Linked DNA regions of Canis lupus familiaris. The protein of the gene in region 1 purifies or fractionates together with the protein of each later gene. This does not show direct contact. Links are inferred from orthologs where the notes say so. Each region holds a gene or a part of one and is shown on either strand. Other genes may lie near its edges. The genes, in order: POLB and LIG3.

Region 1 (10,183 bases):
CTGTATACTATATTTGATAGTTTGATAGCACCATACAGCATCTTGTTTTAATTTGCAACTCTGTTTATTAGTGAGCTGATCTTTTTCATGTTTTTGATCCTTTTTATTTTCACTTTTCCCCTTTAAATAAGGGCTTTTATAGAGTAGTTACAGGTCCACAGCAAAACTGATCACAAAGTAGAGTTCCCATAGGCCCCCAGCCCCCCATACATGCACAGCCTCCTCAATCATCAACATCCCCCACCACAGTGCTACATTTGTCATAGCTGATAAACATACACTGAAGTATCATCATCAAAGTTTACATTCCGGTTCATTCTTGGCAGTGTTGGTCCTTTTTAGTTAAATGTTCAAATGCATCAACATCTGTGCCAGTCATTTCCTACTGTCTCTTGGCCCTAAGTTCACCCTTCTATATTCTTGATTTATTTAATGATTAAGTGTTCCAAGACTACTGAATGCATATTCAAGTTCTGAAAATAGCAATTACCCAATAGAAGGGAACAAGATATAGGAAATAAACTAGAAAACGGAAACTGCTCAGGTTTCTTATTTCCTAGGTCAGAAGATTCATCCTGACCTAAAGTAATTTAGGCCCTGGCTACTTTCTATACCTAACGTTAAAGATTAAGAGGCAAACACTCACTCTGGAAACATCAGATTTCTAGAATTTTTGAGAAGCACTCATATGTGCCGAACAGTAGGTCTGTGATTTTTAATACAATATTGGAAAGGAATAATGATGAGATTGTCATATTAAGTCCAGTCTCATGCAAAAGGAATTTTGCATTTTTGTGTTCTTTTTACGGATATACCATAAGCTCAGATTTGGGATAAAGTGTATCAGAGCTTGTCTAAAATTTAAATCTAATAAATGAGTAGGCTACATACAGTTAACATAGAAAAAGAAATTCTTTTTTTTTTTTTAAGATTTTATTTATTTATTCATAGAGACAGAGAGAGAGAGAGAGGCAGAGAAAGAAGCAGGCATCATACAGAGCCTGATGTGGGACTCGATCCAGGGTCTCCAGGATCACGCTCTGGGCTGCAGGTGGCGCTAAACCACTGTGCCACCGGGTCTGCCCGAAAAAGAAATTCAATAGTGATATAAGGCAAACAGAATGGAAGCAGAAGTACCTCCTGAAGTTAATAATGCGGGAGTTCACCAACAGAAAAACTCAGAATCAAAATCCAATGTATTTATAACTTTCTTGGCTAGCCTATTTGGGGAGGATATACTGACACTGAGAATTGTTTATAGCACAAAGAATTTAAAACCTGTACACCAAGGCATGGTCAGTATTGAGTAATAAATTCAAGATGAAGATGTAAAACATGATTAATACAGAAAATCTGTCAATCATAAAATGTACAAGATTTATGGTAATTTTGTGACCCTGAAGGTGAAAATAATAGGACAGTTATGGTTCATACTCTGAAGGCTCTCATGAGAAAATTAAAGACAATCAAATGTTGCTACCTAAATTCTAGAGTGCTTTTGTCAACAGAAGAAGGTGAACTGTGAGGACCTAGACTAATCAGAAGCCATGTCAGTTTGACATCTTTAACAAAAGACAAATAAGATTCAGTCCTCAAGTTTGAGGAACTTAGAATCTTTTAGTGAGATTTAGATGAAAGAGAACAATCTACCAATAGGTAGACTTTCCTAGGATATTCATAGCAATATAATTGTATTAATGTAAAGTTACTAAGACATGACCCTCTAGGAACTATGACACATACTGTGACACAGCATACAGGGCTTTAAGGAAAATACAGAGAAGAGGGCTAAAGGAAATAGTACACAAAGGGGCTTAATTATGTGATTAGTAGGTAAGATTTCCTTGGGAACACTAACTCATTAACTCACATAAGTTCCTATACCTGGGGATCAGACAAAGATAGCTGGGATCAAAACAAGCCAATACCATTCTGTCACTATACTGTTCTTGAGAGCTGACACTCAAGCTGAAATTTAATGTAAGTACATATATATATAGGGCAGGGTATAGAAAAAATTTAATTACATATATATAAAGCAAAATTTCAATCCACACTCCCCAGTAAAAACAGGAGCAGTAAAATCTGCCAGTGTGGATGAAGGCAGCTTCAAAGAGGCAAATTTAGTTTTCTGGGAATCCACCAAATTTATACATGTGTGAACTCTTCAATTCAGCTTGCTCACTAAACTTACCAATTTTTTAGCTTCTGCTCCACTCTTTATTTTGTGTGGGTACTTTGCTATCACAGATGCTGCTTTTCTGAGAAGAAAAAAAAAAGAAATTCAGTTAGAAATCCAGTGAAGTCTTAATTTTTCTTAAATTAGAATACACACACAAATATGCAGCTTCAACTTTTATGACAGTAACTAATTTTCCACATTTGTGTCAAACTTAAAATAACTCGAGTAAGCTGACAGACCACCTGCATAATTTTCAGAAGTATCTTGAAAATCCTCCCATTTGAGGATAATTTTACCTATATATTTATAATTACGGAGATTCATCACACCAGTAGCTTTTCCTTTTAGGGATTAAGCTAGTTTTTAGAAGTTGTTCGTAACTCTCATAAAAAATGTGCCACCTAGTGGTATTTGGAATACTAGATACCAAAGTGGCTTATGGATGGCTATGGGGTTTTTGTTGTTGTTGTTGTTTTTAATATTTTATTTATTCATGAGACACACACACAGAGAGGCAGAGACATAGGCAGACTCCCTTCAGGGAGCCTGATGCAAAACTCAATCCCAGCACCCTGGAATCAAAGGCAGACAGACGTTCAACCACTGAGCCACCCAGGGGTCCCTTGCTATGGGCTTTTTTAAAAAAAAAGATTTATTTATTTTAGAGAGGGGAGAGAGAATGATAATAAGAATGAAAATGAGAGAAAGAGAGCATGCATGTGTGGGGGAGGGGCAGGGAAGGAGAGGGAGGGGGAGAGGGAGAGGGGACAGGGGAGTGGCAGAGATGGAGAGAGGGGGAGGGAGAGAATCCCAAACCGACTCCACTCCAAGCACAGAGCCTTACACAGGGTTTGATCCCAATACCCTCAACAGAAACCAAGAGTCGGACACTCAGACTGCGTCACCCAGGCGACCCTGGATGGCTATTTTTACTTATTTTTTAAAAGATTGATTGATTGATTGATTCATGAGAGACACAGAGGGGCAGAGATACAGGCAGAGGGAGAAGCAGGCTCTCCATAGGGAGCCTAACGTGGGACTCGATCCCGGGAGTGGTGCCCCTAGATGGCTAGTTTTAAATTCAGAGCTTAAAACTACAACTGCATTCCCCTATGTCCTTATACATATTTTCTTTTTCTTCATTGCTCATTTCAGTTCCACATAAAGCACTGGCCTATGATTCTTGCCCATCTCCACGCACATTCAGCTCAATAATCTGGTGACACACTGGACACACCCTGGAGTATTTGATGGTCTCTGGTGTATAATTTCAATGCTAAATGCAGTTTAGCAGAGAGGCTGATAAAAGCAGAGTACATCTAAGTCTAAAGCATAAGTATTGGGTAGTCTTTGCTGCCTTGGTTTTTCATATCATTCTCGTACATATAAGCTTTTAGATTTGGATTTGAACTTCTCTATTACTGAGGATGAGTCTGGAAAAGTAGGTTGAGGGCAGTTTACTGAGGGAATTGTTTCAGTAAAGAAAAGCAGTTCCAGACAACTTGGCATTATGGGGCCTGAAAGGAAGAATTAAAGCATGAAAGGCTTTTTGTATGCCACCACAATGCATTTGAGCTTTATCAAGGTAAAGAGGAAATATTTAATTATCTGATATGGAAGAATGACAGGATCAGATAACTATTTTCAAAGGAATACTTTGGCCACAATCAAGAGAAATGTTTCATCAGGGTAGGGAAGTGCGTGCAGGCATCACCTGCTTTTCCAGACTTACTTCCCACTCAGGCCATACTCCATAAACAAAGTGAATTACTGACGTCTGGGAAAATGTTATACTCCTTCAGGTCTCAGTGCCTTGGCACATTTTGTTTCCTTTCTCTAGACTGTTCTTCCTTTCACTTATCCCCTGACAGGCTCCTTAAAAACTAAACACCTCCTCTCTGAAGCCTGCTGTGACTTACACAGAATATAATGTTGTGGGACTCCTGGTGGCTCAGTGGTTGAGTATCTGCCTTTGGCTCAGGGAATCATCCTGGAGTCATCCCGGATCCAGTCCCACATCAGGCTCCTGCATGGAGCCTGCTTCTCCCTCTGCCTGTGTCTCTGCCTCTCTCTCTGTGTCTTTCATGAATAGACAGAAAAAATATTTTTTTTAAAAGAATATAATGTTGAATATGTCTCTGATTTTTAAATCACCAAGTGATGATAGTACAATTACTTTAAACAGGAAGTTAAGAGGGATAAGGAAAGGAGCATAATCCGTTTTTAATTATGTTGAATGGGAAGGGAAGTATTGAGCTGAACTCAACTTTGAAAGGATGAAGATAAAGGTAACAGAAACCTAAGAATCTGGAGAAAAGCCCAATGAGATACAGATTTGGAGCCAATTGACATAACCAGTATCCAAAGCCAAGAATGGTAAGATTGCCAAGGAAATTATAAAAGTGCGAAAAAAAGACTAAGGGCAGACCTCCAGGAACTACTGTCATTGAAAGGAAGATATAAGAGGTGAAAGAACAGACAGGAGTGCCATCCCAGAATTCAAGGGTAAGACTTAAATGGAATGAGCTAATGGTGAATGCCAATGAGAGCCCAATAAGGTGGGATGCAGGTGAGAGCACCTTCAGAGAAATGGTGGGATGGAAATTATACCACAATGAGATAATGAATGATGAGGACTGAGGAAGTCAAGGCAAGAAACACAGATTATTCAAGAAGTTTAACTGTAAAGTGGAGAGGAGAGACAGCACCTACCTAAAGGGTAAAGGGAAGACAAGACTGCTTTGTTTTTGCTTTTAAGAGCTGAGGGACTTGGACATGTTTGTAGGCTGAGGGGCACAAATAACTGGATGTGGGATTATCGGCTGCCATAAAGGCTCTGGTGAGATGGACAAGGATGAGAGCCAAGGATCAGCCAAACACTAACCAGAATAACATTTCACAGCACAGACCTAATCCACTGTCTTTCATTATGGCTTAAAATCAAACTCCATTTTCATCAATTCATATTTGATGACGGGAAAAATACATTATCAGCTACACCTGTTTTCAATTAGAATTGGGAACTCGTCAGAAACGATCCTTACAGAGTTCTGCCCAAGTTACCCCAGAACGATCGCAGTTAGGTACCACCACAGAGCCAATACCCTCAGTTCTTGCTTTATTCGCCTCTCATATGGTCCAAATATCTACTGGCCCCTCGGCCCTGTTAACTGCCACACATCCCAGGACGCACGCTACCAGAGAAAGCTGCACGGGCCCACCTGTAAGCATTGTACTTGTGGATTGCCTGGTTCACGTTCTTCTCAAAGTTTGCGAGTTCTGCAAAGGCAACAAGAGGCTCGGGTGAATAAGAACCACGAGTAAACAAACGAGAACTGAGCTTTCCAGAGGGGGTGTAATAGCGTCTTAAGGGGGAGTGACACCCCCCCCCCCCTTGTACGCGGGCCAGGTCAACCACAGCCCCAGCGGTGACACGGGGGTCCCCAGCAGGACTGACATTCAGCCACCAGCAATGGGCGGCGGAGGAAGATCCGCACGGAAGACGACCCGCTGCAAGGGGCTGGCCCCATCCACAGGGCTGTGGGGACCGCAGAGAAGCAAGGGAAGGCTACGAGACCAGAAGAAAGAAGAAAGCCAGCAGCGCCCGGCCCGGTGCTAACCTGTGAGCATGTCGGTGATTCCCCCGTTGAGCGTCTCCTGCGGTGCCTTCCGTTTGCTCATGGTGGCCTGCACCCGAGGACCGCAGAGTGCTCAGAGTCGGGGCTGGCCCCCTCTCCCAGCTTCAGGGAGAGGCCGGGACTTGGAGAGAGGGGCAGGACCAATTCAGCCCCGGCACAACCAGCGAGACCCACTGAACAATGGCCGCCTCTGACAGGAGGCGCGGCGCACGGCGCGCGTCATGGCGTCACGCGCCGGGGGCGTGTCGAGAAGGGGCGGGGCTCGGGGCGGGGCTCGGGGCGGGGCTCGGGGCGGGGCTCGGGGCGGGGCTCGGGGCGGGGCTCGAGCGCGGTGCCGGAGAGCTAGGCTGGGATGGCTGGACCGAAGCTCGTGTTTGCTAACTGCGTTCCTGGAAGAAGACCTGCATTCCTAGAAGACATTATGTCTCTATTCCCAGTACACTTCTCTCCCCAGAAGGGGAAAAGAAGGCATCGACTTTGTAAAGTCAAAACGTCAGGTGGTGGGTGGGAGATAGCATACCAAAGACTCCTCTTGTGCATGTATCATATGTGCACAGAAATAGTTATTGAATGCATGACTTATTATACGTGGTAAGAAACGAACATCTGCATCATATTTACTGTCCACATTTTCTGTAAGAATGTAGTGCCAGTGAACAGTGCAGTGGAGTTTCCTATCTCGGGTGCAGGCAGGAGCCTGGAACGAAATATGCCAATTACAGGAAAGCCTCCTATACTAACATATTTAGTGGATATGCCAATCAATGTCAAAGGTATTTCATTTTTTTATTCCCCTGCCTTTTGCAGTGGGGGCTAAAGAGGGGGGCGGGGGAACAGTGGAAGAGGAAAAGTGCTTAACCTACATAATAATAAACAATGAAACTGTCGTTAAAGCATGATGACCTGGGTGCCTGGCTGGCTCAGTCCCCGACTGTGAGCGTGCCACTCTTGAGCTGGGGGTTGTAAGTTTAAGCCTCATGTTGGATGTAGAGATTACTTGTACTATAAATACAATTTATAGGAGCACCTGGTTTGAGCATCTGCCATTGGCTCCAGCGGTGATCCCAGGGTCCTGGAATGAGTCCCTGCCGCGAGCCTACTTCTCCCTCTGCCTATGTCTCTGCCTCTGTCTCTCATGAATAAATAAATAAAATCTTTTAAAAATAATAAAATTTAGGGACCCCTGGGTGGCTCAGCGGTTGAGCGCCTGCCTTCAGCCCAGGGCATGATCCTGGAGTCCCGGGATGGAGCCCACATCAGGCTCCCGGCATGGAGTCTGCTTCTCCCTCTGCCTATGTCTCTCTCTCTCTCTCTCTCTCATGAATAAATAAATAAAATCTTTTTTAAAATAATAATAATAATAAAATTGATAAAATGGAAATGTGACATCAGCAATGTTTTATTTTACAAGTGTGTCTCCTGGGTTCATACTGAACTGCCAATTCCAGGCAATCGCTTTGTATGGAAATAAAACTAAAAGCTTATTGCAAAATAATACACGACTATTGTAGAAATATTTGAAAAGTGTACAAATGGGGGCAGCTGGCTGGCTCAGTTGATTTAGCATCTGCCTTTGGCTCAGGTCATGATCCCAGGATCCTGGGATGGAGCCTGCTTCTCCCTCTGCCTCTGCCCTCTGCTCATGCTGTCTCTCAAATAAATAAGTAAAATATTTGAAAAATATATAAATGGAGAAAAAATAAATAATTATCTCACCATCCAGCTCAACCATGATTAATTTTTTTGCGATGTACTTCTAGTCTTGTAATCCAGTTCTTTAAAAATTATCATTATTTTTCAACAATGAGGGATCCCTGGGTGGCGCAGCGGTTTAGCGCCTGCCTTTGGCCCAGGGCGCGATCCTGGAGACCCAGGATCGAATCCCACGTCGGGCTCCCGGTGCATGGAGCCTGCTTCTCCCTCTGCCTATGTCTCTGCCTCTCTCTCTCTCTCTCTCTCTCTGTGACTATCATAAATAAATAAAAGTTAAAAAAAATTCTTTTTCAACAATGGAATAATGCTTTAGATACAAGCGATTTCTTTGATTAACAAGGTTGCGGTTGGTTGTTTTTTCATAACATCATTGTATATCTTAAGTTATGCTTATTGGATATTTGTGTTTCTTCCTTTGTGAATTTTCTGTGTATCTTTTGTTCATTTTTCTCTTAGGGATAGTTGTCTGCTTTAATTTGTTAGCTCTTTTATATATAAATACTAATCCTTTATGTATATTGTATGTTTTTTGCAAATATTTGTATTTCTCCAACTTGTACTTTGCCTATTTATTTACTTTTTTATTTGGTTGTCAAATCATCCTTTTTTGAAATATTTTCCTTTGTAGTTAACTAGCTAGACATTCCATCGCACTACTGTTGATGTCATCTGTGATGTCCTGAGGGTGGCAGCCTCAACATTGTAGCCCACAGCTGGGCAGTCGCAAGACATCTTTAAAGGTTCTAGAGAATTCTCTGGCTAAAGATCACTGAAGCATCTGTCGGGCAATATTGGCAATCTCAGCAAAAGTGACATTTCCACTGTGCTTAATGTTTTTCTGCTTCTTTCTGTTTCTTGGTGGTTCCTTAAGGGCTTTGATAATCAGGACAGAGGCAGAGGGTAACAGTTCAATCTGGGCCTGTCTATTCTGAATGGTCAGTTTCACTGTAATCTGCAAACCCTCCCAATCACTGGTTGCCTTGGTGATGTCATCACTTTTTTTTTGGAGACAGACCCAGGGGGCTGATCTTCAGGGCCAGGGCAGACTTGGCACCAGCCTCACTGCTGGTGCATCTCAGGTACACGACTTTGATCTCGTTGGGGTTGAACTTAGGCGGCATGGAGGAGGCGGCTGGTGTTGGTGTCGGATGAACAGAAGACAGTTACACCTTTGCCCTCTTTGAGTCAAAAGCTGAAAAGGTACCTTGCCTTTTTAACACAGATACTTAATGCCTTAATTCCCATCTTTGTTTAGATATATGAATTGTCTTAGTATTTTTCCCAGTTCAGCTTTTTTCCTACTCAATCTTTATTCCAGGCCATATTCATATTATTTTGTTCGGAAGAATGATCATCCCTCATTAAATTAAGAAAGTTTTTATTCAGAAGCGCATGAATGGCTCAGGTAGTTGAGCATTGACTCTTAATTTTGATTCAGATTGTGATCTTGGGATTGTGGGGTGGGTTCCAACCCCGAAGTCAAGCTCTGCCCTGGGTGAGTGAGGAGCCTGCCTGGGGACACTCTCTGCCCCTCCCCTGCTCATGCTCTCTCTAAAAAAAAAAGAAAAGAAAAGAAAAGTAAAGTAAAAAGTTTTTATTCACCTTTGAAAAATGAAAGTTACAACTTTAGGGAACTCTGGGATTGTTTTTTATATAAGTATTGTGTTCTATATGAGTATTATGCCATTTTTATAGGAGTATAAAATACTCATTGTATGTGGGTAGTATATATGAGGATTATACTTTTTAAAAATCAGTGCCGGGCAGCCCAGGTGGCTCAGTGGTTTAGCGCCACCTTCAGCCCAGGGTGTGATGATTCTGGAGACCCAGGATGAAGTCCCACGTCAGGCTCCCAGCATGGAGCCTGCTTCTCCCTCTGCCTGTGTCTTTGCCTCTCTCTGTGTATCTCTCATGAATAAATGAATAAAATCTTTAAAAATAAAAGAAATATTTTTCTTTTATTGAGGGTGAGGAAGATAGTGTTGATGGTACAGAGTGAGCAAGGATGAGAATGGCAGATCATGGTACCAAGGATCGTGTAGCATGCTCAGTGGACACAGAGGTGGCCAGAGTGGTGGTAGCAAAGTGAGAGCAGAAAGTGCCGCTGAAAAAAAAAAAAAAAAAAGAAAGTGCCGCTGAAGAAAATTGTAAGTATTCCGGATCTGGATATATTTTGAAGGTTGAACCAACAGGATTCATTGGATAAATTGGGTGTGGGGTATGAAAAAAAGAGAGTAGTCAGGGTGAATCCATGGCCATTGAACTAAGTAACTGGAAGAACAGAGCTGTCATGTAAGGAGATAGAAGACTGTGAAGAACAAGTTTGGAGGGGAAAAAATCAAGACTTGAGTATGGAATGTGAGATGTATACCTAGCCTGACAATGCTGAAGGGACAGTGGGATATATTATCCTGGGGTTCAGGAGAGATATCCAAGCTGGAGGTATAATTTTGAAACCATCAGCATCTGTATGGTATTTAAAACCATGAGGCAGGAATAAATTGCTTTGGGAATATGGCTACATTAGAGAACTTCCTTGTGTGTGTCTAGAATTTTAGAGGTCAGGGCAAGGTCACAGAATCAGCCAAAAAACAGGAAGAGCCACTGGTGAGGATGAACAGGATTAGAGTAGGTAAGGCATGTAAAAACA
Region 2 (9,473 bases), on another chromosome or scaffold:
TTGTTGCCATGAGGTGTTTATGCCTTTCTTTTTTTTTTTTTGTTTTTTGAGTTTTTATTTATTCATTCATGAGAGACAGAGAGAGGCAGACACATAGGCAGAGGGAGAAGCAGGCTCCCTGCGGGGAGCCCGATATGGGGCTCAATCCCAGGACCCCAGGATCACAACCTGAGTTGTAGGCAGATGCTCAACCTCTGAGCCACCCAGGCATCCCAGGTGTCTTTGCTTTTAAGACCTTTCAGCAGGCAGAAATAGAAAATATATGCATGTTTACACACAAAACACATGCTTACACATACACAGTTATATATATATGTATGCATTCATATGTACAGATTCACGTGTGTGTATTTTTAGAAATCTTATACTGATACTTCCAAATCCAGTTAGTCATTTATGACCTTCCATGTGCTCATCTTTAAAGTAATTTTTGTATCTTCAATTAAGTATAGTTCTAGAAGGTCACTTTGGAGGACTCTGGCAGTGGCCCTAAAAATGGGCAAAAAAATAAAAATGGGCAACTATCTATCACTGTTCTTTGAGAGAAGATGTCCAGGAGAGAAAGCTACTTTGAGTATACTTTTTTTTCTCAAGCTCCCCATCCTGCCCTGCCCTGCCCTGCCCTGACTTGGCCATCTGCCTCAGCCTGTGTTACTTCTTGATTAATCGAAAAACAAGGTAGAATCAAACTCACACAGCTCAGAAGACTCAGCAACAGGGACTTTCCCTGCATGGGCCATCCTAATACTTGCTGTTCTCCATCTTCATTGTACTTTCTTATTCATCTATAAATTGGGGCTAATTCCATGGAGCTGAGGACCCCAGGTTTTATCTGTGGAGATGTGTTCTGATTTTTCCCAAATCCGGAGGTCATTCTATATGGGTTAAGAGGTGGAGAGTGCCGATGAAAATATAAATTACTAATAGAAGTAAAGAGCTCCTCGCCCCAGGACTCTCACCCACTGACTCCACTCAAAAAGGTCAGCAGTCCGCAGCCAACCTTGGAGTGATGTCACGGTAATAACTCATCTGGGAAGGCTGTAAGAGCAGTTGTTAAATTCTTGGGAAGTTTTTCTCAGGGATCTTTCACTGAAACATTTTCCCTCTTTTGGGGGTCCTACAGATCTGTCTTCTAAGGCAACAGGAACACCAAAGAAGAAAGCTGTCGTCCAGGCTAAGCTGACAGCCACTGGCCAGGTGACCTCTCCAGTGAAAGGTGCCTCATTTGTCACCAATACCAATCCCCGGAAATTTTCTGGTTTTTCAGGTGAGAGATTTGAGCTACTTTAGCTGTTATGGTCCTTTTAATTTGGAATCCTATTTGGGATTCTGGCCAAGAGTGAAAATTCTGTGCTATCTATCCTCATTCATAATTTGCTTCCGTCTGAGCAAAGAGGCAGGTAATGGCTAATTTTCAACATTCCCCTGGTATAGCATTTCTTTGTATACGTTAATCTTTAGTGCAACAAAAAAGATGTGTTTTCAAGACTTTTTCCCCTTGAAGTAGTCACCTGGGTCAGATGGAAATGATTATAACCTACCCTATAACTTCCTTGTGTTTTAGTAATGAAGGAATTTTGAGAAATTGCATCCCTAAACTTGCCCAAAGCAGAGATGAAAGTATGGTCAATGTCCTGCATGGCCTTACATAATAGGGAGCATTGGGTTCGGGACTTTTACCTCTGTAGTTACTTGTTTGTTCTTCAGTTAACCTTAGGAAGTACTTTCGCGAGCCCCATTTTATGAGTGAGAGAGCTGATGTCCAGTTCATTATGGAGTTAGTATTGATATTGAGGTCTCTTTAACTCCCAACACCTGTGCTCTTTTACCTTGCACCTTGTTGCCTCTTATTGGGAGACATTCTTGTGACCAACTCAGGTAAAGAAAGTAGAGCAGAACACATGAACTCAGAAGTTGTTCGGGGAAGGAGCTTTAAGCAAGTGAAAGAAACGTAGACTTGACGTTGGGAGACCTGGGTCTTGGTCCCAGGGCTGCCATGGGACAGCTTGCTCAGGGGAGCAAGTTGCTTTACCTCGGAGCCTCTGTGGCCTCATCTGTGAAGGGGGAATGGTAACACCTGCCTCCTTTACCCTACAGTATTTGCATGAGAACTACTGGAGAAAAGATGGCAAAATCAGTAACCCTGAGGTTTGTTTTTTCTTTGGTGGTAGGCCAAAACCAGAAATACAGAAGAGTCCCGGTGGCAATAAGGACAGCATGTTCCTGGAAGGGCCCAGGTCCTAGGGAGGGAAATTTGGGAGGAGCTGAGAGAAATGGGGTGTTCTAAAGTCTTACAATCTGCCAAGCACCAACACTTTGGAGATTTTGTTCCCTAAAATCATCTTTAGACCCTAGGTCAGAGATGAGGATGGATTTATAATTTACAGACCCCAGGCAAGAGGAAGCTTACATCAGCAGCCTGCTTGCTAATGGTTCTGCTGCAAGCTTGCAGAATGAAATGTGCTTTGTAAAGGAGGTAAGAGAGAATCACTCAGGAGTTGTACAGTATTTTGGGGTGTCTGGAGGAAAGTCTTACTCATTGACCCCCTTTTATTTTGGCACTAAGAAGTGGTGAGTGGGAGAGAGCACCAAAAGCCTTGGGATGCCTTCTCTCGGGTCTTGGGCTTCTCAGCAGTAAGAAGAGATTGAACCAGGTCATCTTTAAGGCTTCTTCCAGCCCCAAGTCTACGATAGTGACAGTTTACCACTGATGAACCTGTCCCTTGGTTTCTCTTCCATTCTCTTCTGCACTTTTTCGGTCAGCTTTACCATTGCTCTAAGGCCCACCCTCTGCACAAAGGCTACTTGTTCTATGCGGCACTTCTATAAAGAAACGCACAGCAGCTGAGCCTCTGCGCAAGTGTGAGCCTGTTTCATTACCTGTAAGATGGGTGTCATGGTATCCACCCCATAGGGTGATTTGGGGCAATGAAGTGGAGCTCCATTTGGAGCGCCAGCAGAGTTATTAGTTTCCCTTTCTTCCTTCTCAGCAAGGCAAATGAATCATCCCTGATGTTTCTTTCTCCAACAGCCAAGCCCAACAACTCTGGGGAAGCCCGCTCAAGCCCTACCCCTAAGGCAAGTTTGTCCTCAAGCAGATGTGATCCCAAGCACAAGGATTGTCTGCTACGTGAGTTTCGGAAGCTGTGTGCCATGGTGGCTGAGAATCCTAGCTACAACACGAAGACCCAGATCATCCAGGACTTTCTTCGGAAAGGTTCAGCAGGAGGTGGGATCTAGAACTGGATGGGTTTTCCTCTGAAGAGCTTAGAGCCATGGCTGGTTTCATGGGCATGTGAACCATACCTTTGCACAGGGCCCCATGCGTGGTTTAATCCTCTGTTAATACTGCCTTTAAAGTCTCTCTCTTTCTCTCTTAAGATTTTTTATTTTTAAGTAATGTCTATACCCAACTTGGGGCTCAAATTTACAACCTCAAGATCAAGAGTTGTATGCTCTACCGACTGAACCAGCCAGGCACCCCTTGAAATTCATAATAATTTTGAACAGAGAACTCTTGCCTTTTACTTCTTATTGGGCCCCACAAAGAATACAGCCAGTTCTGCTCAGAGCATATTGGTATCCTTCTTCTTCTGCCTTTATTTGATCCCCTGGAGGCCAGGAGAATGTATTGCATTTGACCAAGAGGAAAGTTCACTACCCTGCATGTTTGATCAGGTTTTTGTGACCCACATGCACAGCTGGAGTAGTCTTCCAGTTCTTTTATTCATCTAACAAATCATCATTGAGCATCTGTAATGTGCTCATCGCTGGCGACACTGAACTGAAAGTGTAGCCATGCCCTCTGGGAGTTCATCCAGGGGAGGTAGCCACGTGAGCCACCAGCCACCAGATGCTGTGGTCTCTACTACTGTAACAAAACACGCAGGGTATCTTGTATCGTGGTAGCGCAGACAGCAATGTAGACCTCTCTTTCAGTCCTTGAGTTTATGTATGTATTTGTTTAAGCTCCATTTCTCAAGAAGGCTTCGATTCTTCTGTCTCCAGATGGTTTCCACGGTGACGTGTACCTAACAGTGAAGCTGCTGCTGCCGGGTGTTATTAAGAGTGTTTACAACTTGAATGATAAGCAGATTGTGAAGCTTTTCAGCCGCATTTTTAACTGCAACCCAGATGATATGGCACGGGACCTAGAGCAGGTCAGAGGAAAGGGAGGGTGGGCAGCGTTCCAGGTGGGGCTCTGCCAAGCCAGGCACCTGCAGCCTCTTTTTTCTCGTTGGGGCACATACTGTTTCAGGAAACTGAAACCCATTTGAGCAAGCTTCCTTTATGAGAGCTCAATGTGAGGCTACAGCCGTTAGTTTCACAAGATTCTGAGGATTGCAGTCATACTGCCACAGAGCCCCAAGGGGCCTAGATTTCGAAGGACAGGATTTGAGATCTCCCATGGTCTCTCCTTGGGTTCCTGTTCAGGACCCTACTTTTTTTTTTTTTTTTGCTTTTTTTCAGTATAACTTGGTATAACATGGGAGCCCTGGGTGGCTCAGTGCTTGAGTATCTGCCTTTGGCCCAGGACATGGTCCTGGGGTCTCAGGGTCCCGGGATCGAATCCCGCATCAGGCTCCCTGCATGGAGCCTGCTTCTCCCTCTGCCTGTGTCTCTGCATCTCACTGTGTGTCTCTCATGAATAAAAAATAAAATCTTTTCAAAATTTAAAAAAAAAAAAAAAAAAAAACTTGGTATAACATTCAGCTTTGTTTATTCGTGACTCCAGTTTTGGCATCATGGAAGGTTTTATCCAAGCCACCCCCCCTTATCTGATGACCATATTTGTTTCTTAGTTCAAATTCATTATTTTTTTAAATATTTTTCGAGAGAGAGAGGAGGGCAGTAGGGGAGGGGCAGAGGGAGAGAGAATCTTAAGCAGGTTCCACACCCAGCACATGAGCCCAAGAGGGCTCAATCTCACAATCCTGAGATCATGACTTGAGCCAAAATCAAGAGTCAGACACTTAACTGACTGAGCCATGCAGGTGCCCCCCGCTTAGTTCAAATTCTAACAGGAATCAGGGACACCTGGGTGGCTCATTGGTTTGGTGCCTGCCTTTGGCCCAGGGCGTGATCCTGGAGACCCGGGATTGAGTCCCACGTCAGGCTCCCTGCATGGAGCCTGCTTCTCTCTCTGCCTGTGTCTCTGCCTCTCTCTCTGTATCTCTCATTAGTAAATAAATAAAAATTTTTTAAAAAGCTTAAAAAAAATTCTAACAAGAATCAAATTGGCTCAGTCCTGGATTAGTCCTTATATCACCTCTCGGCCAAGGCAGGTGGCCAGATCTTGTGGTGGGTAGAGGTGCTCTTTCAGAAACTGTGGGTGGGATAGATTGTCCAAGAAGTGAGATTAATATGTGTGAGTTGGGGACATGAGTGATGTTCACTGTTAGTCCTGAAGGCTTGGGGGAAACACTCGGCCATTCTGGGGTTGCAACAATTTTGGTTTTTGGAGACAGGGCGACGTGTCAGAGACAATCAGAGTCTTCTTTGAGCAGAGCAGATCTTTCCCCCCAGCTGCCAAGAGCCTTCTTACCATCCAGGAAGTGGACAAATTCCTCCTTCAGCTCTCCAAGCTCACCAAGGAGGATGAGCAGCAACAGGCCCTGCAGGACATCGCCTCCAGGTGGGAGAGCTGCCCAGTGAGGATGGGCTTGGGGTGATAGAATCACCAGGAAAGGAAGGTTTAGGGGTCCAGAGCTCTCCAAAGACCAAGTGGAATGTGCCTTCCCCCTAGGTGTACAGCCAATGACCTTAAGTGCATCATCAGATTGATCAAACACGATCTGAAGATGAACTCGGGTGCAAAACACGTGTAAGTACCAATCCCTCTGACAGCCTTAGCTGCTGGCTTCCTGTGTTGCCAGCTGGTGTCAGGAGTTTTAAGTCCTGATCTGGATTCAAGTCCTGGTTCCACCTTACTCCTTCCTTCGGGGCCCATCACTTGACCTAGCTCAGTCTCCATTTTCTTATATGAAATGTCAGAATACCCTTCTCACATAGTTATTAGAATTGAAAGCATAGAAATGTTCAATAAATAGAGTATGAGTTACTTGCCCACTCTAGCTCCCTCTTTGCTTAAGGCAGTATCCATGTTGACCCAGGATCTCAAAATCATTGAGTTTTCCAAGAACATTTTATCCTGCAGAAGGCTTTAAACAGTAGAACGTAAGCTTTCTCCCTATATTGGAATCCTTCCTCTCTGCAAGAACTGACTGCTAGCTAGCTAAAGCAATAAGGTCAAAGGCAATGGTTTTTGTTTTTTTTTTTTTGCTCCTGTCTGCCCCGGCAGGTTAGATGCCCTTGACCCCAATGCCTATGAAGCCTTCAAAGCCTCACGCAACCTGCAGGATGTGGTCGAGCGGGTCCTCCGCAACGAGCAGGAGGTGGAGAAGGAGCCAGGCCAGAGACGAGCTCTGAGTGTCCAGGCTTCCTTGATGACGCCAGTGCAGCCCATGCTGGTAAGGATGCTGCTCTGGCCCTACTTTGTCCAGATGTTCTAACCTTCCCTGTGAGATCTGGGAGGGTATGAATGTCGGAGGAGTTTGGGTCAGGCACAATGGAGATGCAAAAGGGTATATCTCAATGGGTGTATAAAGGTGAAGGAGAAGACTGTGGTCTGGTAGAAATGTCTGAACTTGAGGCCCAGCTCTGCCGCCAGCAAGCTGTAGAATCTGGAATGAATTACCTAGCCTTTCTTGGTTTTTCATTTCCTTGCGTGAATTATGTATGAAACCATCTGAAGCATCTAGTTAGAATCCTTTTTCAGTCATCTTTCCTAAAGATAGGTGGATACATTAACTCCTAAAGTTCTGTGACCTACCCCAGAGTAGCTCTGACAGTTATAGTGGCAGAGCCAGGCTTCCTGTGACACAGTGACTTGACCTCTTTCTTCTGGAAACAAGCCTAAGGAATGAAGACCAGGTCTGACTTGGTATAACATGGGAGCCCTGGGTGGCTCAGTGGTTGAGCATCTGCTCAAGATCATCTTGAGCCTCTGCTCATTTCATGAGAAGTAGGATTTCCTATCTACATTGGTTTTTCTGGGCAGTGGGACCCTCCCCAAATGCCATGCCTAGTGAGAGCCTTGGGGTTGCTCCATTGGGGTGCAGTGCCTTTCATGAGCCTGTCTTGTGACATGTAGTCTACAATATAGACTACAGCCTTTGGTTAGGGTTCTGTGTTTGGGATGGGGAAGTGTTTTCTCTCTCCCGGAATGTGGCACGGCCAGCACCAAAGTAGTGAGCTCTGCATCCCAGGGACAGGACTCAGATCACAGTAGTGATCTTTCTGACTTTCATACGAATTCTTCTTGGAGTCTGTTGTACAACCTGCCATTTATTCAAAGAGTGTATAGGTTAGATAGTTTCGTGATAAACTACACAGGCTTTGGAGTTGGGCCTAGCATCATTCCTGCCCCTCACTTGCTGTATAACTTGAAGTGAGGACTTCTAATGCTCTTCAAACTGGTTTTCTCATCCATAAAATGAAAACTGTGTCTATCACATAAGATGATCTGACACATACAGACACCCCCAGGATGGTAGTGGTTAGGTTGAGTCTGGATGGCACTGGTATGTGCAGAGGCACTCTTGTGGCCTGTCCTGGGGCTCTCTGACCACTGCTACCATGCCAGCCTCTCTGTCGCCTACCTCTCTTTATCTTCCCCTCTACATATCTCCTGTGCTGAGGTCACTGCTGTTTTGGGGGATTTTTTTTTAAGATTTTATTTATTTATTCATGAGAGACAGAGGCAGAGACACAGGCAGAGGGAGAAGCTGGCTCCTCTTAGGGAGCCCGATGTGGGATTCGATCCCAGGACCCTGAGCCAAAGGCAGACACTCAACCACTGAGCCACCCAGGCATCCCTACTGCTGTGTTTAATAGGAAGCCAAGGCCCTGCAAGATCCTGAATTACTGAGAAAAAAAAAATGAAATACTGTTTCAGTGGAATTTTATTTATTTGTAGTCCCCAAAAGCCCAGCTCCTGTTTTAGCTGCAGTGATGCTTATAGTCCAAATAAGCACTGCCTAGCCTTGTACATTTCCCCCAGCTCTTGAGCAGTCTGCCTGGAGGGTATCCTGTGGTCAGCAGGCCTTGGGACCTGGACTCTGGGGCTGTCATGCCCAAGCAGCCCCCAGTGAAGAACACCTATAAGTCTCCAGGCTTTTCTTTCCCCTTCCCCCTCCCAAGGCCGAGGCCTGCAAGTCCATCGAGCATGCGATGAAGAAGTGTCCTAACGGCATGTTTTCCGAGATCAAGTACGATGGGGAACGAGTCCAGGTGCATAAGAACGGGGATCACTTCAGCTACTTCAGCCGCAGCCTTAAGCCTGTGCTGCCTCACAAGGTACAGGTCCCTTCCTCTGCTGGGACCATCTCCCTCCCTTCCCCTAAGAACCTCGAGGCTGTGGTTCTGTAGTCCTTTCAGCTCTGGTATGCAGTAGAGTTTCTTTTGTATTTGTTGAATGAATGTATGTATTTTTGGAGTCTTGCAATGAAGGGCTGCTCAGTGGGGACACCCGAAGATCCCACACTTGGGTTAGCACAGAGCCCCAGGGGACGGTGACATTCCCCTTGCCCACATTGATGCTGGGACCATGAGCTCACCTGGCAAGTGACTTGCAGTGCTTGTCTTCTGCGTTTCCATGTCCTGTGTGCTCCACGAGTGAAATTACAGGTTAGGGACAAAGAAGCTATTGGGCTGTCCTTCATGAATTTGATAAGCCTTTACTGAGTGCTTAGTCTGCGCTAGGTGCTATTCTTGATAGTGGATGTACAGCAGTAAAAAAAAATGGACAAAAGTACTTGCCCTCCTCCCCCGCCAGAAGCTTACATTGTGATGTAAACACAATCCAGTGGGGACATCTGAGAGCACAGACTCCTGTCCTTTATTAAGGGGCTTTAAGAACCTTGCCCCTGAGTCCTCAGCAGCCAGGGTTTCTGTGAGCTTTGGGGCACTCCTCAGGGAAAAGCTGCTGGGATATCTGGCCCCAGTAGCCTTTGAGTAGAGGGGACTCTCTGTGCTTGCTATGCCTTCTCTCCCAGGACAGACTCCATTTTTCAGAGCCCTGGGGGTGGAGGAGATGTGTTGGGTGGCTCGCGTGCTTCCCTCACCCCTGCCTCCCTGCTGGAGCACCGGGCATTGGGCCATTCATTTCAGATATGCAGAGGAGGGCTAAGCATTGGCCTCCCCAGGGAGATTAGTGCAGACTCACCGGCTTGGTGGGGCCCAGTAACCTTGTCCAGGAACTCTCCTGGGTTGCTGCTCAGTGGGCACCTCTGCTACCTGGAAGAGGTTTGGGCCCAGCTTTCAGAGTTCTAGACCTTTCCTGACTCTCTCTTACCAGTTGTCCCTTGTCTCTCCTGTGCTTGGGGGACAGTTATACAGGCCTCCTCTCTCCCCACTCCAAGCCCCATAGGTAGCAAGTGTGCTCTCCGGACCTCACTGCTGGTATCATGTGG

What was found.
Region 2: the proteins of POLB (region 1) and LIG3 purify together in Homo sapiens (affinity purification with mass spectrometry; 3 studies listed by BioGRID and IntAct, counting the BioPlex papers as one, with this or other methods). This does not show direct contact. The link is inferred for Canis lupus familiaris from reciprocal best matches to the Homo sapiens genes POLB and LIG3.

Annotation. Positions count from the first base shown.
Region 1 is NC_049237.1:24,062,737-24,072,919, forward strand, and holds the start of POLB (DNA polymerase beta), read right to left. Parts: upstream 6,030-10,183; 5' UTR 5,864-6,029; coding exon 5,803-5,863; intron 5,462-5,802; coding exon 5,404-5,461; intron 2,262-5,403; coding exon 2,195-2,261; intron 1-2,194.
Region 2 is NC_049230.1:38,321,912-38,331,384, reverse strand, and holds part of LIG3 (DNA ligase 3), read left to right. Parts: intron 1-1,123; coding exon 1,124-1,267; intron 1,268-3,031; coding exon 3,032-3,229; intron 3,230-4,008; coding exon 4,009-4,160; intron 4,161-5,468; coding exon 5,469-5,635; intron 5,636-5,746; coding exon 5,747-5,824; intron 5,825-6,301; coding exon 6,302-6,470; intron 6,471-8,202; coding exon 8,203-8,358; intron 8,359-9,473. UniProt on the Homo sapiens protein: Isoform 3 functions as a heterodimer with DNA-repair protein XRCC1 in the nucleus and can correct defective DNA strand-break repair and sister chromatid exchange following treatment with ionizing radiation and alkylating agents.